Pelodiscus sinensis: one gene and its partner. The protein of the gene in region 1 purifies or fractionates together with the protein of each later gene. This does not show direct contact. Links are inferred from orthologs where the notes say so. Each region holds a gene or a part of one and is shown in the gene's direction. Other genes may lie near its edges.

The links.
Region 2: the proteins of RNGTT (region 1) and PPP4R3A purify together in Homo sapiens (affinity purification with mass spectrometry; 3 studies listed by BioGRID and IntAct, with this or other methods). This does not show direct contact. The link is inferred for Pelodiscus sinensis from reciprocal best matches to the Homo sapiens genes RNGTT and PPP4R3A.

The regions. Positions count from the first base shown.
Region 1 is NC_134713.1:63,848,608-63,857,015, reverse strand, and holds the start of RNGTT (mRNA-capping enzyme), read left to right. Parts: upstream 1-5,267; 5' UTR 5,268-5,519; coding exon 5,520-5,583; intron 5,584-8,408.
Region 2 is NC_134714.1:31,304,789-31,313,049, forward strand, and holds the start of PPP4R3A (serine/threonine-protein phosphatase 4 regulatory subunit 3A), read left to right. Parts: upstream 1-5,239; 5' UTR 5,240-6,285; coding exon 6,286-6,427; intron 6,428-8,261. UniProt on the Homo sapiens protein: Regulatory subunit of serine/threonine-protein phosphatase 4. May regulate the activity of PPP4C at centrosomal microtubule organizing centers.

The DNA.
Region 1 (8,408 bases):
CACTGCTCCAGAAAACTGCCAAGGAAACCAGCAGAGGCTGCCCAGAGGAACTCTGTCTACATAATGAGACAAAAAAGGAGCAGGAAATAGGTTGCACAGTTGCAGAGCACCTCCCTATCTACCATTCTCCTCCTGGTATTATAGATGACCACTTTGGGTAGCAACAGATGGTGGTTGACAAGGAGATCTCAAAACTTCTTGGGGCCACGGACCAGTTGCGCATACATGAAAAGGTATGGGGAGAAGAGCTGCCAAAACCTTAACAGGAGATTTTGAAAGGGCTGGAAAAGGGGCTGCAACCTGTGCATTCCAGGTAAGTATAGGGAAAGATCTCCCTCACACTGTAAAATGGACTGGCATTGGTAGGGATGTAAGTGAAGCACACCAGGCACACGACTGTGCTCACATCTGCAGGGAGCTGCCAACTGACATCCCCTGTGGCTGTGGGACCAAGATAGAGTATAGGCTGGCCCACTAGGGTACCTCATCCTTCACATGTAGTAAAAGGTCCTGCCACTTTGTATTGGGGTGGGACATGAGGAAGAGGGAAATGAAATGTTTGTAGCATGAGCATATAGAATTGTTTGCTAGGCATGGTTCAGAAGCAAACTGACTGCAGGGCATGCAGTCAATTTGGATTGTTGAAAGGAGGGAGACTGGGGAGCTTGCAGGGCAAAGGCCCAATGTAAAAGTCTGATGGGCCAGATGTCTGGAGTAGGTGGGGCACCTTCTCATAGAACCTGCTAAAAAAATCTGAGAGTTGCATGATCAGGCTTCCTCCATCTCCTATGTAGAGGGAGGTCTGAAGAGTGGAGAGCCTATGTGCCAAGGGATACACCCAGGCTGTGTCTAGACTGGCAAGTTTTTCTGCAAAAGCAGCTGCTTTTGTGGAAAAACTTGCCAGCTGTCTACACTGGCCGCTTGAATTTCCGCAAGAACACTGACGATCTCATGTAAGAAATCAGTGCTTGCGGAAATACTATGCTGCTCCCGTTCAGACAAAAGTCCTTTTATGCATAAGCTTTTGCGCAAAAGGGCCAGTGTAGACAGCTCAGATTTATTTTGCGCAAAAAAGTCCCGATCGCGAAAATAGCAATCAGGGCTTTCTTGTGCAAAACCGCATCTAGATTGGCACGGACACTTTTCCACAAAAAGTGCTTTTGCGGAAAAGCGTCCACGCCAATCTAGACGCTCTTTTCCTCAAATGCTTTTAACGGAAAACTTTTCTGTTAAAAGCATTTGCGGAAAATCATGCCAGTCTAGACGTAGCTCCAGTCCCTCTATTCGTAATCCAGGAAGTCTCCAAGTCTAGTGGTTTCTGCCAGGACCAGCCTCTAGCACACTTAGGCAGTCTATGCCACCCACACAGTAAAAAGGGGGTCGTGTAGCTGGGACTCCAAATTTAGCTGAGAGCCTGGACTGAAGCAGAGCTGAGGGCAGGATATGGCTGGGTGGCAATCTCTCCCTGCCTTCCTGGGGGCTGGCCCAGATCCCACTGTGGCTACGTCTACACTGGCCCCTTTTCCGGAAGGGGCATGTAAATTTCACTAGTCGTCGTAGGGAAATCCGCGGGGGATTTAAATATCCCCCGCGGCATTTAAATAAAAATGTCCGCCGCTTTTTTCCGGCTTTTAAAAAAGCCGGAAAAGAGCGTCTAGACTGGCCCCGATCCTCCGGAAAAAGTGCCCTTTTCCGGAGGCTCTTATTCCTACTTCAAAGGAATAAGAGCCTCCGGAAAAGGGCACTTTTTCCGGAGGATCGGGGCCAGTCTAGACGCTCTTTTCCGGCTTTTTTAAAAGCCGGAAAAAAGCGGCGGACATTTTTATTTAAATGCCGCGGGGGATATTTAAATCCCCCGCGGATTTCCCTACGACGACTGCTGAAATTTACATGCCCCTTCCGGAAAAGGGGCCAGTGTAGACGTAGCCTGTGTGTCCCAAATGTTCCTCCTGGTATTATAGATGCCCTGGGGTGGAGGTGCACCCAACAGTTTGGGGCTCTCTGATTTAAGGAAATATTATTTCATAGAGTTGTGAATAAATGGATTGACTTCTTACTGATGTGATGGAGTTCATCACATTAAAGTACTGATTAAAAATTCTTTGGGACAGCAACTATCCTTTTAATATATGTATGCCCATTGCCTTGCATAATGAGGCTCCAATCCCAAACTAATTATTAAATAATGTAATCATTAATTTGAGCAAAAATAGATAACTATGGAATTTATCAAATTCTATATAGGATTTTATTAAATGCCAATTATTAGTGTTTCTGAACCAGATAGGTAAGTTAAAGAGGTGGGAGTAATCAGTTTCTAAGGTGGGTCCTGATCCTGAACAAGGGTTCTAGATTCTATCATAATATAACAAAATAACAATTTTGTCTTATTATTTCTTAATTTGTTAGTCATACATTTTTGTTTTTTAAATTTTAAAATTATATGTAGTAGCATAGAGACAGATGTCATATTATCATCACAGTTCCAGGCACAAAGAGAGCATAACCTGTTTGTACTAGGGAAGTTAAATTTAGATTTATTGGCTAATCGAACAGTTGATGCAATTTGCATCAACTATTCAATGAGTTGATAAGGGCACCCTGCTGTTGAAGTGTAGCAACAGCCCCTGAGTTGTTGCTACACTCCAACGGTGAAAGTGCTGCAGAGAACATGGGACTAGTGGGGGACTCAAGCAATATCCCGCTAGCCCTCCGCTCCCCATGGTGTTTCAAAGTGGCAGCACCACATGGAGCCCAGGGTCTGGCCCCAGGCTCTATGCGGCACTGCCACTTTGAAGCACTCCCTTTTCTTCCCTACACCTTGCTGCCTTTTTTTGATAGAAGCAGCAAGGGAAGGGGGAAGAGACTAGTGGACTAGTGTGTCAACTATCCGATAAGCATTTGCTTATGGGACAGTCGATTAGTCGGTCACATCCCTAGTTTGTACTACACTATGTTGCAGCAGTGTATGTAATTTTGGACCTATTTCTGTCACCCTTGCTCAGTTTACTCTGTGAATAATCTTGCTGAAATCAGAATCTGGCATTCTGTGATTGTTTTTTTGCTTCTTTTCTCATCTTGATTAGGACTTCGTGCACTCAGATTTCATTTTTTTCCACGTGGTCTTTTGGCACCATCTAGTGTCTGCCTGTTGCACATTCAGCTTAGGAACAAATGGAATTTTAGTTTCAGTACAGTATAGAAAATAGTGCATATGTGCTGAAAAGTTTCAGAAAATAAATGAAATGTTACCTCCAAATGAATGGTTGAACCTGGTAATAGTGTATTAAGTTTAACCAAGCTATGTGTGTTGGTATCTAGCCAATAATCTTAGAATATTCAATCAGAAAATAAACCAGCAAAAATGTAATTAGCTGTTTTAATTGAAACTGCTTATTTCCCGGTGTCCAAATATTGATACAGGGTGTCATCTGCAACTTGGACCTCTCTGTAATTTCTCACTTGCAGGGCTATATGTAAAAAATCTTGCCAATTCTTTCTTTGTAACATCTAAGGCAGTGGTCCCCAACGTGGTGCCTGCGGGTGCTATGGCGCCCGCCGGGGCGTTTATGTGCACCTGCCAAGTGACCAGGGCCGACCCAAGCCATTCTTACGCCCTGGGCCTGAGTGCTCGGCACATGCGTGGCCCCCCTCCTTCCCGGGGCACGCGGTGCATGAGTGGCTCCGCCCCTGCCCGCGCGGTGCATGCGCGGCCCCGCCACCGGCCGCACAGCATATGGGCAGACCCGCCCCTGGCCGTATGGCCCATGTGTGGCCCACCCCAGACATGGCCCCGGCTGCGTGGCTTGTGCGCAGCCCCACCCCTGGCCGTGCCGCACATGTGCGGCCCTGCCCCCGGGCGCCCAGCAGCCCCAAAATGTTGGAGACCACTGATCTAAGATATGACATTTTTATTCATTTGTACAGCTAAAACTCTCATTCAAGCTCTCATAATTTATTACCCCCGGTTAATACAATATCATTCTCTTTGGCCTTGACAAATGCAGTCTTGCCCTGTGCATATCCATTCAGAATGTTGGTACAAAGATGACTTTCTTAGCTCATTGTTTTGACCTTGTCACCCCTCTTTTTGAATGTCTCCACAGGCATTTTCTTCTCTCACACACATCAAAGGTAAACTGCTTGTATTCACTTTCTCAAGTTATTGCTTTTATCTTATCACTTCTCTTTGTGAATCCAAAATGCTTGTGTATACTTTGAAATCCCTTCACAGTCAATCAATCCCTCTTCCTATCAAACTCTACTTGCTTGCAGCCAACTGGCCAATTAGGCCAGCCTCCACTTTCCACCTGTTTTCTCTCATCAGTCCCAGGTACTTTAGGGACACTCTCCATCACTCTTTACAAAGCTATCTCATTATCCACCTCCAAATTCCTCCTCAAAACTCCCCTTTGCCATGCTTCTTAAAAAAGAAAAGAAAACCTTGACAAATGATTTGGCTGTTCTTGGATTGAGACCACTATCATGTTGACCATTGTTGGCTTGTGCTCCCGCTGGTCTGTTGATAGCCATCTGATGTCTTATCTTGTACTTGGATTGTAAACTCTTTGGGGCAGAGACCATCTTTTTATCTTGTTTGTTCAACACCCAGTGCAACACGGTTCAAGGCCATGGTGAGGCTCTTCGGTGCTATGGTGCTACAAATAATACATAATAATTTAGTTGCCAGTCTTGCTTTGGCTCCTATGCAGCCAAATTGACTTTCATAGGATGTGGTGGATACAGAAGCTCCTCCATACATGAATCTGAAGGAAGGACTAAGGTCACAGCTTATGAGAGAGTGTGTGTGTGTGTGTTTTTCAGAGTGACAAGATGAGCTCACATTGGAGCCGTTTTCTTGTATAGCCTGGCGACTAGTACCTCTCGCCCAAAGATAAAAGCATCCCAAGTTTTCACACTTATTGTCCAGTCACTCTAGTTTTTTCCCCTCCTCGCTAAAGTGCTGTTCAATTATTTCCTTGTACCCTCCCCCCCTTGTTCTAGTAGCCGCAGGAGTCCCAGGCACGGCCCAGGCTGCTTTGTGCGAGCGCCCGCCACCCAGGCGCTCATGGAACCATAGCGCTGGAAGAGACCCCAGGGGTCATGAAGTCCTGCCCCCGGCCGCGCGGCGCTTCCAAGCTAAGTGCGGGGCAGCAGGTGGGCGCGGGGGTTTGGTCCCCGGGCTCCCTCCTCACCCTCCCCACGCGGGCGGCGACTGGGTTTCCCGTCCAAACCCGGACTCCCGAGCCAGGCCCGGGGGGGGGGGGCTGACGTTAAACGTCGTCGCCCAAGCAACGTCTCTCCGCCGTTCGGCCCTGGCGAGCAGAGAGCCCCGGAAGCGGAAGTGGCGCTTCCGCGTCGCGGTGCATTGTGGGGAGAGGCGGTTGCTGTGGAGTTGGGTCTGAATGAAGCTGCCGCGGGGAAGGGGCTGCCGGAGCCGCTGACTGGGGAGGAGCCGCGTCCGCAGCCGCCCGGCCCGGCGTTAGCGCGAGCCCTGCTGGGCAGCAGGAGGCGCCGCCATGTCCTACAACAAGATCCCGCCGCGCTGGCTGCGCTGCCCCAGGAGGGGGCAGCCGGTGGCAGGTGAGCGGGGCCGGGGTGCTCGGCGCGGGGCGGCCGCCGCTTCCTCGCTCCTCTTCCAGCCGCCGCCGCTGGCGGGGCCATTGGCCGAGGGGAGGCACCGCGCCGCGTCCGGGTATCGCGTCTGGCTTGGCGCTGGGGGGAAGCGCTGAGGAGTCCTATCCCCAGCTCCGTCGGCGAACCGGACCGCTTGCTTGCAGCGGGGGGACAGCGGGCTCCCTAGGGCAGGGTGTGGGGAGGGGAGTTACAGGCACCGCCTGTCTCTTGGGACTGGGGCGCCTCTCTCTTTGCTAAGTGGCGTCTCGCTGCTTTTTCCCTTTTCAAGCTGGTTTAATGCCTCAGTTCTCTTTAGGGATGAAACAGGATAACCGTTTACATCAGGGGTTCCTAACCTTTTTCGGTCCCCGTACCCGCTTGGCTTTTAGTAAACCTTCCAGTACCCCCTAGTCAATATGAAAGGAAATAAATTCTAGTCTCTAGAATCTGCAAATTTTTTCACTAACACTGCTACTTCTGGAATATTTCCATTAGGATAAATTAGTTATTTACCAAATAGTCCCCGTACCCTCTTGACAAGCTTGTCATATCCCCTAGGGGTACGCATAACCCAGGTTGGGAACCCCTGGTTTACATGATTACCTGATAAACCCACCATGAATGATTACACATGGGATCCTGCCCTGCTTGCGGGGAGTCAGCTATGGGCTCTGTATCACAGCCTGCAATGCGAGGTGGCAGCTGGTACATGTTGGGAACCAATTTAAAAGCTGGCTCCCAGTGCACGTTGGCTCCTGGGATGCTGGTTGCTGCCTGTGTATCAGAGGTATGTGCTGCTGCCTTTGGGTGCATCTACACAGCAGGGCTTAACTCGACATAAGCTATGCAAATTGAGCTACATCAATTGCGTATCTTATTTCGAAATAGGGAGCATCTACCCTGCTCTTATTTCATAATGGAGTACTTACTCTTCCTCTGACTTCCCTTATTCCTCGTGCAATGAGGATTACAGGAGTCGCAGTAAGAAGTTCTCCAGCTTGACGGTATTTTGACACTATTTTGAAATAACTGCCTGCTGTGTAGACACGGACTAAGTTATTTTGGAATAGCACTAGTTATTTCAAAATAGTGTTGCAGTGTAGACGTACTCTTTGTATTAGAGGCATGGTTACAGTGGCTGTGCTCCCAGTCCTGCATTCAGCCTGCCAACTCTTGGTAAACAGGTCCTTCCCCCAGCCATGGGGATTGGAGCTGGTGGTACCCTGGTACCTCACTGTGATTCAACTATGTTGGTGCTGTGTGCTGTCACTTGTGAGTCCTCAGGAGCAGCACACAATGTGATGCCCTTTCCTCCTCTGCCACCCATCTTCCTTGAGATCCTGACCAATGTTCCCTCTAATCTTTATGCTCCATGTGCAGATTTTTTCCATCCGTGTGTGGAATAATTTTTTTTATGTACACCAATGTATATGTGAAAATGCATTAGAAATCGTACTCTGTACCCGTGTACATGGTTAACTGGTAAACCTAGGTTCATTGGTTAACCCTCACAGTTACACACAGAGTCAGCTGGCGGTGAGGAGGTGGGAGCCGGTGTCCATGGGGAGCTGCCTTTTAAACCGGCTCCCCTCATGTGCCAGCTCCCGCAGAGCATGTCTCCCCCCTCCACCCATACTGCTGCCTCCCACAGAGGAAATAGTGGGCAGGGAGGAAGGTGGGAGCTGGTGCTTATGGGGAGCCAGCTTTTAAGCTGGGTCCTTGAGCAAGCCAGCTCCTGCACAGTTGCCTGTCCCCCTGTGCTTCTGCTTCTGGTATGGAGGTAGCAGCATGACAGGTGTGTGTGTGCAGAGCAGACGGGAGCCAGTGTTTGTGGGGAGCAATCTTAAAAGCCGGAATCCCAAGAGCACTGGCTCCTATCTGCTCCCCTGCATGTAAACGTGTAACTGCTGTTTACGAAAATAAACTTATTTTAAAATTCCTAATGTGCATCACCAATAGAAACACCAAAACTAACTGGGAGCTCTGCTAATGAGCTGGGCAGCATTTGAATTTCTCTGGAGTGGCCACACAAGCACATAGGTGACAGGGAACACGGACCCTGACACCACACTACCATTTATCTCCAGTTCCAACCCTCATGCTACATATTCTGTGCTATCTCTTGCCTGAAAGATCATTCCCCTCTCCCCCTTCCACTTCCCCAGTTGTTAGTCTTTGTGAGATGGCTTGATGGTGTAGATGCAGATAGAGATAAAAGATGACTAGCAGATTGTGGGTTGATCTTGGTGGATGCAGATCTACATTTTTGTATTCTTCTAGGTTCTAATTCATCTTAAATCCATGCCTAACTTTAAATCTGTCAGTAGTCTAATTAATTGATCCTTTGGTTTCAAAGTAGTCACGTACATTAACTTTGGTGAGTTGAGGTTATGTTTCATTCCTTCCTTCAATTATATTTACATTTGCAAGTCTCAGCCACTTTTTCTGTTTGTCAACTGCCTTTTTTTGAAGTCTTTCTGTGATTCTTTCTTTACTTTATTATGTTTAGCATGAGATCCAGGGATGTGCTATGTACCACAGTAGTTCTCAACCTGTTCACCACTGAGAGTTGCTGTGCAGCATTCTATGCATAACATGGGCCAAATCTGCACAATATATACAGACTGAATCTCTGTGGAATGTGACTGACTGGTCCGGCAACATCTGTTGCTGGACGATACAGCCCCTGGACCAGAGAGCCAGTGGGGAGGCTGGGACACTGGTGAGTGGCGGACACAGCGGTCGGATCCCAGTCTGCAGCTAGAGTGCTGGTTGCAGAGCTGGATCTGGAG
Region 2 (8,261 bases), on another chromosome or scaffold:
GGAGGTCCATTTCCTGGACACCATGGTACAAATAAGTGACGGTCACATCAATACCACCCTATACCGAAAACCTACCGACATCTATACTTACCTGCATGCCTCCAGTTTCCATCCCAGACACACCACACGATCCATTGTTTACAGCCAAGCACTGAGGTACAACCGCATATGCTCCAACCCCTCAGACAGAGACCTACACCTACAAGATCTTCAACAAGCATTCTGTAAACTGCGATACCCACACGAGGAAGTGAGGAGACAGATTGACAGAGACAGACGTGTACCCAGTAGCCTCCTGCTACGGGACAAGCCCAAGAAAGAAACCAACAGAACACCACTGGCCATCACCTACAGTCCCCAGCTAAAACCTCTCCAACGCATCATTAGTGATTTACAACCCATCCTGGACAATGATCCCTCGCTTTCACAGGCCTTGGGAGGTAGGCCGGTCCTTGTCCACAGACAACCCACCAACCTGAAGCATATTCTCACCAGCAACTACACACCGCACCATAATAACTCGAACTCAGGAACCAATCCTTGCAACAAACCTCGGTGCCAACTCTGCCCACATATATACACCAGCAACACCATCACAGGACCTAACCAGATCAGCCATACTGTCACTAGTACGTTGTCCTGCACGTAATATGTGCCATCATATGCCAACAATGCCCCACTGCTCTATACATCAGCCAAACTGGACAGTCCCTACGTAAAAGAGTCAATGGACACAAATCTGATATTAGGAATGGCAACATACAAAAACCTGTAGGGGAACACTTCAATCTTCCTTGACACACAATTGCAGATCTAAAAGTAGCCATCCTACAGCAAAAAAACTTCAGGACCAGACTTCAAAGAGAAACTGCTGAGCTACAGTGATAGAGATGTAGCCGTGTTAGTCTGGGGTAGCTGAAGCAAAATGCAGGACAATGTAGCACTTTAAAGACTAACAAGATGGTTTATTAGATGATGAGCTTTCGTGGGCCAGACCCACTTCCTCAGATCAAATAGTGGAAGAAAGTAGTCACAACCATATATACCAAAGGATATAATTTAAAAAAATGAACACAAATGAAAAGGACAAATCAAATTTCAGAACAGAAGGGGAATGGGGGCGGGGAGAAGAAGGTAAATGTCTGTGAGCTAATGATATTAGAGGTGTGCTGCTGATCTGGAGGTATAAGTTGTTCTCAAACTGGAAATAATTGTGGGTGAGAACAAAGTTACATAGGTCTGCTATCAGATTGGCAGTGGTGTCCTCTGGGATAGTGTTTCTAATTGCTTGTAATCCGTCTTCATGTGGGATGTTGGTGTATAGAGCTTTTACGTCCATGATGGCAAGGATGGTGTTATCGGGGAGGTTATCGATGTTTTGTAGTTTAGTAAGTCAGTAGTATCTCAGAGATAGCTGGGGGCGGTGGTTGCGTAGAGCTTGAGAAGAGAATGTCTAGCCAACTACAAAAGCAGTTTCTCCTCTCTTAGGGTATGTCTACACTACAAAGTTAGTTCGAACTAACGGACATTAGTTCGAACTAACATTCATAGGCGATACACTAGCGCTCCGCTAGTTCGAATTTAAATCGAACTAGCAGAGCGCTTAGTTCGAACTAGGAAAACCTCATTTTACGAGGATTAAGCCTAGTTCGAACTTACTAGTTCGAATTAAGGGGTGTGTAGCCCCTTAATTCGAACTAGTGGGAGGCTAGCCCTCCCCAGCTTTCCCTGGTGGCCACTCTGGCCAACACCAGGGAAACTCGTCTGCCCCCCTCCCGGCCCCGGACCCCTTAAAGGGCACGGGCTGGCTATGGTGCCCGTGCCAGGTGCAAGCCTGCCAGCACCCAGCCAGCAGACCCTGCACCTGACACGGCACAGAGCCACCCACCCGATGTCCCCCAGCCCACCCCCTCTTCCCGGGACCAGGCTGGTGGCTCCCGGGAGCTTGCCCATGACCGCAAGAGGCGGGCACCTTCCTGGGCTAGTGCAGACATCGTGGACCTCATCCACGATCTCCGCACTAGGCACAGGAAAGTGGCCGGCTAGGGCAGGAGAGCTGCCAGCCTGGCCACCCAGGAGCAGGTGTGCATGAAAATCAAGGTGGTCCACTGAGACCCCCGACCCTGAGCCCTGAGCTTACGATGGCCGTACTGGGTCAGACCAAAGGTCCATCTAGCCCAGTAGCCTGTCTGCCGACAGCGGCCAACACTAGGGACCCTGGAGGGGATGGACCGAAGACAGTGACCAAGCCATTTGTCTCGTGCCATCCCTCTCAAGCCTTCCACAAACTTTGGGAAGGGACACCACTCCTACCCCCTGGCTAAGACTACTCCATGGACCCAACCTCCATGACTTGATCTCACTTCCCTTTAAACTCTGTTCTAGTTGTAGCCTTCACAGCCTCCTGCAGCAAGGAGTTCCACAGGTTAACTATTTGCTTTGTCAAGAACAACAACTTTCTCATACTAGTTTGAAGCCTGCTACCCATTCCTTTCCTTTGATGTCCTCTAGTCCTTCTTTATGGGAACTCAGGAAGAACTTTTCTGAATGCACCCTCTCCACCCAACCCCTGCTTTTAGAGACCTCTATCCTGTCCCCCCTCCATCTCCTCTTTTCTAAGCTGAACAGTCCCAGTCTCTGTAGCCTCTCTTCATCTGGGACCTGTTCCCAACCCCTGATCATGTTAGTTGCCCTCCCCTCTCCCAGCCTTTCTCTTCCCCTCTCCCACCTCCTTTTCCCAGTCTCCCCCAGTTTTGTTCAATAAAGACAGAGTCAATGTTGGAAGAAACATTATCTTTATTTTGTACATCAGGAAGGGGGGCTAGGGAAGGGTAAGTGGAAGGAGGTGAGGGAGGAATGGGGTACGAGCCCCCGATGGGGAGGACTGGGCTGGCTCTGCGGGCTTCTGGGGGTGGAAGCTCTCCTGCAGCCCCCCAATTGCTCCCTCTCCCCAGATGGCAGCCTGCGGCAAGTGCAGCCGGTCTGATGGCCGAGTGCTGTGATGTGCCCAGTGTGGGCACTCCGGGCACTCCAAGCCAGGACTGGTTTTCAAGCGGGGATCTCCTGAGAACTGTCTGTCCGGTGTGGGGGTCGGGTCCTTTTAAGCGCAGCCCTCGGCTAGCCTGAGACAGCATCTCCACGCCTCTGATGCCCTGCTGGCACTGTTCAGGGTCCACTCAATGTGGACATGCTAGTTCGAATTAGCAAAACACTAATTCGAACTAGTTTTTAGTTCTAGACGCGTTAGTTCGAATTAGCTTAGTTCGAATTAACTAATTCGAATTAAGTTAGTTCGAACTAACTCTGTAGTGTAGACATACCCTTAGTGTTTACACCTCCAAATCAGCTGCCAGAAGTGGGTCTCATCCTGCCTGACTGAATTTACCTTGTTATCTCTAGCCTTACTCTTGATTGGTACTCTTTTCTTATGCTTGTATATTTATACCTGCCTCTGGAATTTCCACTACATGCATCTGATGATGTGGGTCTTTGCCCACGAAAGCTTATGCGCCGTCTCCAGCTTTCTCGCCCCGGAGCTCACAGGCAGCGATCAACCACCTCTACCTCCGGGGCGAGAAAAGCTGCTCCCGGTGCCCCTGGTCTGCTGGAGACCGTCTCCAGCAGACCAGGGGCACCGTGAGTGAAGCCGCAGCAGCGGCGGGTTCCCGCGCTTCTGAGGCTTTGCCAGCGCTGCCTGTGAGCTCTGGGGCGAGAAAGCCCCGTTCGTAAGTGCGGATCCGACGTAAGTTGGGGACTGCCTGTATTGCCACCCTAGCTTCTAGGCTGTTGCATGCAAAGCTTGGTCTCAGTCAACAGCTACCACTCTCTGCCCAGCTCTGAAGGCCACAGTGTGGAAGGGTGGCAAAACATACCATACCAAGCCACCCTTACTTATGGGCTGCTGCTGGTGAGCTGCTGCTTTCGGAGCTGGGTGCCCAGCCCATAACAGGCACTTTCCTGCCTCCCAGTTCTCATAGCAGTGCAGAAGTAATTGCAGCAATACTCCCCAACTCACCACCCCCCAAAAAACCCTTGTGATACCCTGCAGCTCCCTTTTGGGTCAGGACCCCCGATTTGAGATATGCTGGTCTCCCACCTCTGAAATCTGTATAGTAGAGGGTAAAAGCACAAAAAAAGAGACCAGTTTTCAGCAAGGGAGACCAGATTTCATGGTCCATGATATATTTTTTATGGCTGTGAAGTTATTAGGACCTTAAATATAAGTTGTGAAATATTATTTGTAATGGTGTTTTGGCCCTCCTGCCTACTGTTCTTGTGGGATGCCAAAGGGCGCCACCCTTCAGCTCAAGGGTGAACTAGGGTTGCCACGTGTCCGGTTTTGAACCAGTATTTGAGCTTTCTGTCCAGGAAATAAATTAGGAAAATACCGGACATATAAATGTCTGGTATTTTCTAATTAAGTAAGTTTTATTATTATCATGAGTATCAGTTCGTAGTTGCATACTGCATGAGTATCAGTACTGTGTGAGCGTGTCTACCAACCAGGCAGTACGCAACTACACAGTAGAGAGGAGGGGGACAGGGCTGGAGCAGGATGGAATCCCAGGGGCCGGACTCGCCCATGTGCCCCACTGGGACAGTGCGCAGGACGGGCAGGACCCTGGGATCTGCGTGTGCCTGGGCCAGCCCCACTCCCTGCTGGCCGGTTCCCCCCAGGCCAGCCCTGCTCCCTCCAGTGTGAACTCAAATGTAGGGTATAGCTACTGCTCTCACACACCAATTGAAGGCACTATGAAGGGTGTGGATGGTGCCCTATTGCCCTGCAGGACTGCCCCAAAAGGTGTGGGGGTGGTGTGCAGTGATGGGCCTGCTGAGCAATGAGGTTTTGCTCTGGCACCCCAGGGTGCGGTGGGCTACTGTTCTTTTACACTGCATGATCATTGGGGTGCTACGCCCGTAGGGTTCTGCCTCCCAGCGTGCTGAGGGGTGCCGTGAGGTCTTGGGTGGGGTGCTGCCCTTGCCCCCCAGGCTGCAAGTGGTCACGTGGGGGTGCTGTGGGGTCCTAGGTAGGTCACTCCGTGGGGTGCACACAGTGTGTGACTGAGGAGATTGGGTGACAGGCACGCGCTGCTCCCCGGGAGTGACTAGCGGGTAGCCCCCCCCCCCCATCCGCTGTCTCCCACTCCCCCCCCCCCATAGTCCCATCCCTTCTCAGAGCCTGTGTCTGCTGTTGGCCCTTTAAATGCCAGATGGCGGCCCGTGCCGCCGCTGGCTGGGAGACCCCGCGCCTCTAGTGAGAGGTGAAACCAAGATGGCGGTCGCGCAGTGACTGAGGCGGAGACGGAGCCAGTGGGACACAGTCGGGCCTCGCCGCGCCTCAGCCAGGCCGCCAGCCAGCCCGGCCGGGGAGGGACCGCGCGTGCCGGCGCCCGCAGCGGAGCGGGCCGGCCTAACCGAGCGGGCCGAGGAGCCGGGGCTGAGCCGCAGCAGTAGCGGGAGCAGAAGGAAGAAGAATATGGCGGCGGAGCCGGGCTGGGAGTGAAGCTGCCGCCTGCGAGGGGAGCCCATGGGGGAGACTGGACGCTGAGCCCGGCCGCCTTCGCATCGCTCCCGGGACAGGCAGCGCCCGCTGGCCGCCCACGAGCCGCTCCTGAGGAAGGAGGGGCCGCGCCGCCTCTGCCCCTCTATTGACAAACTGCGAGGGGGCGTCGGGCCTGGGCAGCGCCCGCACAATAGAGCCGAGCGCCGGGCAGGGGGCGAACTGACCTCGCTCCCTCCCTCTGCCGCCGATCTGCCACCACCCTAGTCACCTCTGTTGATCTCGCTTCTTCCTGCCCCCTTTCCGTCCAGCGCACTGCCCTCTCGAGTCACCCCTCTCCTGCTGCCCCATCCCCAGCCACCCCTTCCCTCTGCTTTCCCCCACCCGCTTCATCTCCCTAGCCATCTTTCTCTGCCATCCTCTTTTACCTCATTCACCAGCTCTCCTCTGATATTTCTGTTCCCTCCCCACACTTGCCCTGTGGCCCGTTGCTTTACACCTGGCAATCGCCAGGCTTCCCCTCCTGAATAGCACCTCCTGGTCCTCTGTAACTGCTTCCCACCTACCACCCCCTTCCCCAGCACTCTGCCCTGCCTCCAAATAGTGAGCATGAGGAGGAGACTGCCCCAGCAGTGAAGAATAAGGAGCGATCCCGGGGTGTCTTTTTGGGACTGCTACTCTCTTTTCTGCGCCTCTCCTTTGAGGGGGGCCTAGCCCCCCACCAACCTCCTGTTCCTTTAGGTGTCACAGGCCAGGGTGGTGGCTGTGGTGTGACAGGCGGCAGGATGACCGACACCCGGCGGAGAGTGAAAGTTTACACGCTGAATGAAGACCGCCAGTGGGATGATCGAGGCACTGGACATGTGTCCTCTGGCTACGTGGAAAGGCTGAAGGGCATGTCCCTGCTTGTCAGGGCAGAGAGCGATGGTAAGTGGTGTGAGAACATGGCAAGTATTGTAATCTTTTTCCAATCCACCTACAAAAAAAGATAATGGCTTTATATATCTGCTTTGTGATTTTATCTGCATAATTTGTATGTGATTCTGAAATCGGGCAGTCAGCAGCTATCGTTAACTCTTGTTAGGCTATATGACAAGGTTGGAAGATTAAGACAACACACTCCCACTCCTCAGGTACACACTTGATGCATATTGGACACACTGACATAAAGCTGTATACCACATACAGGTAGTACACATTTCACACACTATATTGCACACCACTATCCCATTTCTCCCCCTCCCCAAGATTTTTTTTCCCTAAACACTAATTGGGATCTCTTGTTGAAATAATTGATAATCCCAAGATTAAAGAAACTATTCACAGTTTGGATTAAATGTGTTGAACATAAAATATTAAAATTATTTCATTGTTGTTTCTTGTCTATTCAGCTTTCTGTAGGTGGGTTGCAAATATATTTTTCACTCTTTAGAAGTGTATTAAAGAGTATTTTATAATGTGTAGATAGATACTCGCAGTTTTGATTTCAAGACAATACAAAGAACAAAACAACATTTTGAGGATATTTTTAAGCAGCTACTGTATTCTGCGCTCATGCTAAAACTGCCCTTAGAATTACCCCTGAAATAATAAATTCACTTAAAATAAAGCATATCACCTGTTTTTCTCTCACTCCAAGCATGTTTTGCTACATTTTGATAGGTTTGTGTATGAACTATCCTTGATTACTTGATCAGTGAGTTAATGATTACTGTAGATTAAACTTTGAAGTATAGCTGGCTTCATTTAACTCTGGTACCATGAATGTAGTCTGTCCTATCTCATTTAACCATATAGTTATGTACTGGGTGATGTTTTTCTGCCATTAGCTACTTCCTGGCTTTCTATCTTACATCTGGGGAGGGTGGGTCATTCTTGTAGATTGCTGTTTATATTTGATTGCTATCTCCCCTATGTTTATTTGGTTTTCCTTGTGCTGAAACTGAAGGATAGAAAACTTCATTGAGGTCAGTTACTTAGTCCAGTCATTGTAGAAGAGGAAGTGCATGTTTTCAGGAGTTATCAGGAAATCCTAAATTGATACAGTAAGAATCAAATGTAGTAAGTTGATTATCCAAAGCATGTTTAAATGCTAATTATATTGACTTAAGTCTTTTAAATTGCTAAATTATTATTAATAAATTATGAAAACTAACTATATAATTGATTTTTTACAAAGAAGTTGGAGACCTGTTCTCCCCATTCTCTTCTGCATGTCTTATTTCTTAGGTTAGATAAACTCGAGATGGCAGTGGACCTTTATTATTAAATTTAAGGGTGGTGGGGAGCCCAGTGAGAAGGAGGAACATCACCATTATAAACAGGTTTATGTTACAGTGGTATAATTCTAGCACTCACCATCACCACTGTAGCTTTCAGGAGCTAAATAAATTAATAAACTTCAACTGAAACTTCAAATGAAAGAACGATGTTAAAACACCAAATGCAGTAGTAGTAGTGTTTTAAAAATACAATGATCTAGATAGAATTTTTGAGCATAAAATGCTGCAGGTTGTAATCTGACTGTGAAGAAGCAGTCTGTTCAAAGGACACAGTCTTCCACTGGTTTCAGTTACATTTGCATATACAGATTTATTTCAGTAGTTTCATTGCTGTAAATGAGCTTGTATAAATCTATTAAAGAAAATGGAAGTATGAAGTATTGTAAGTGTTACTTTAATGTGTATCTAGGAGTTACTGAATTTTAAAGATTAGTTATCCATAACTTTAAAAAGCAAACCAGCATTTTTAAAAATGAATA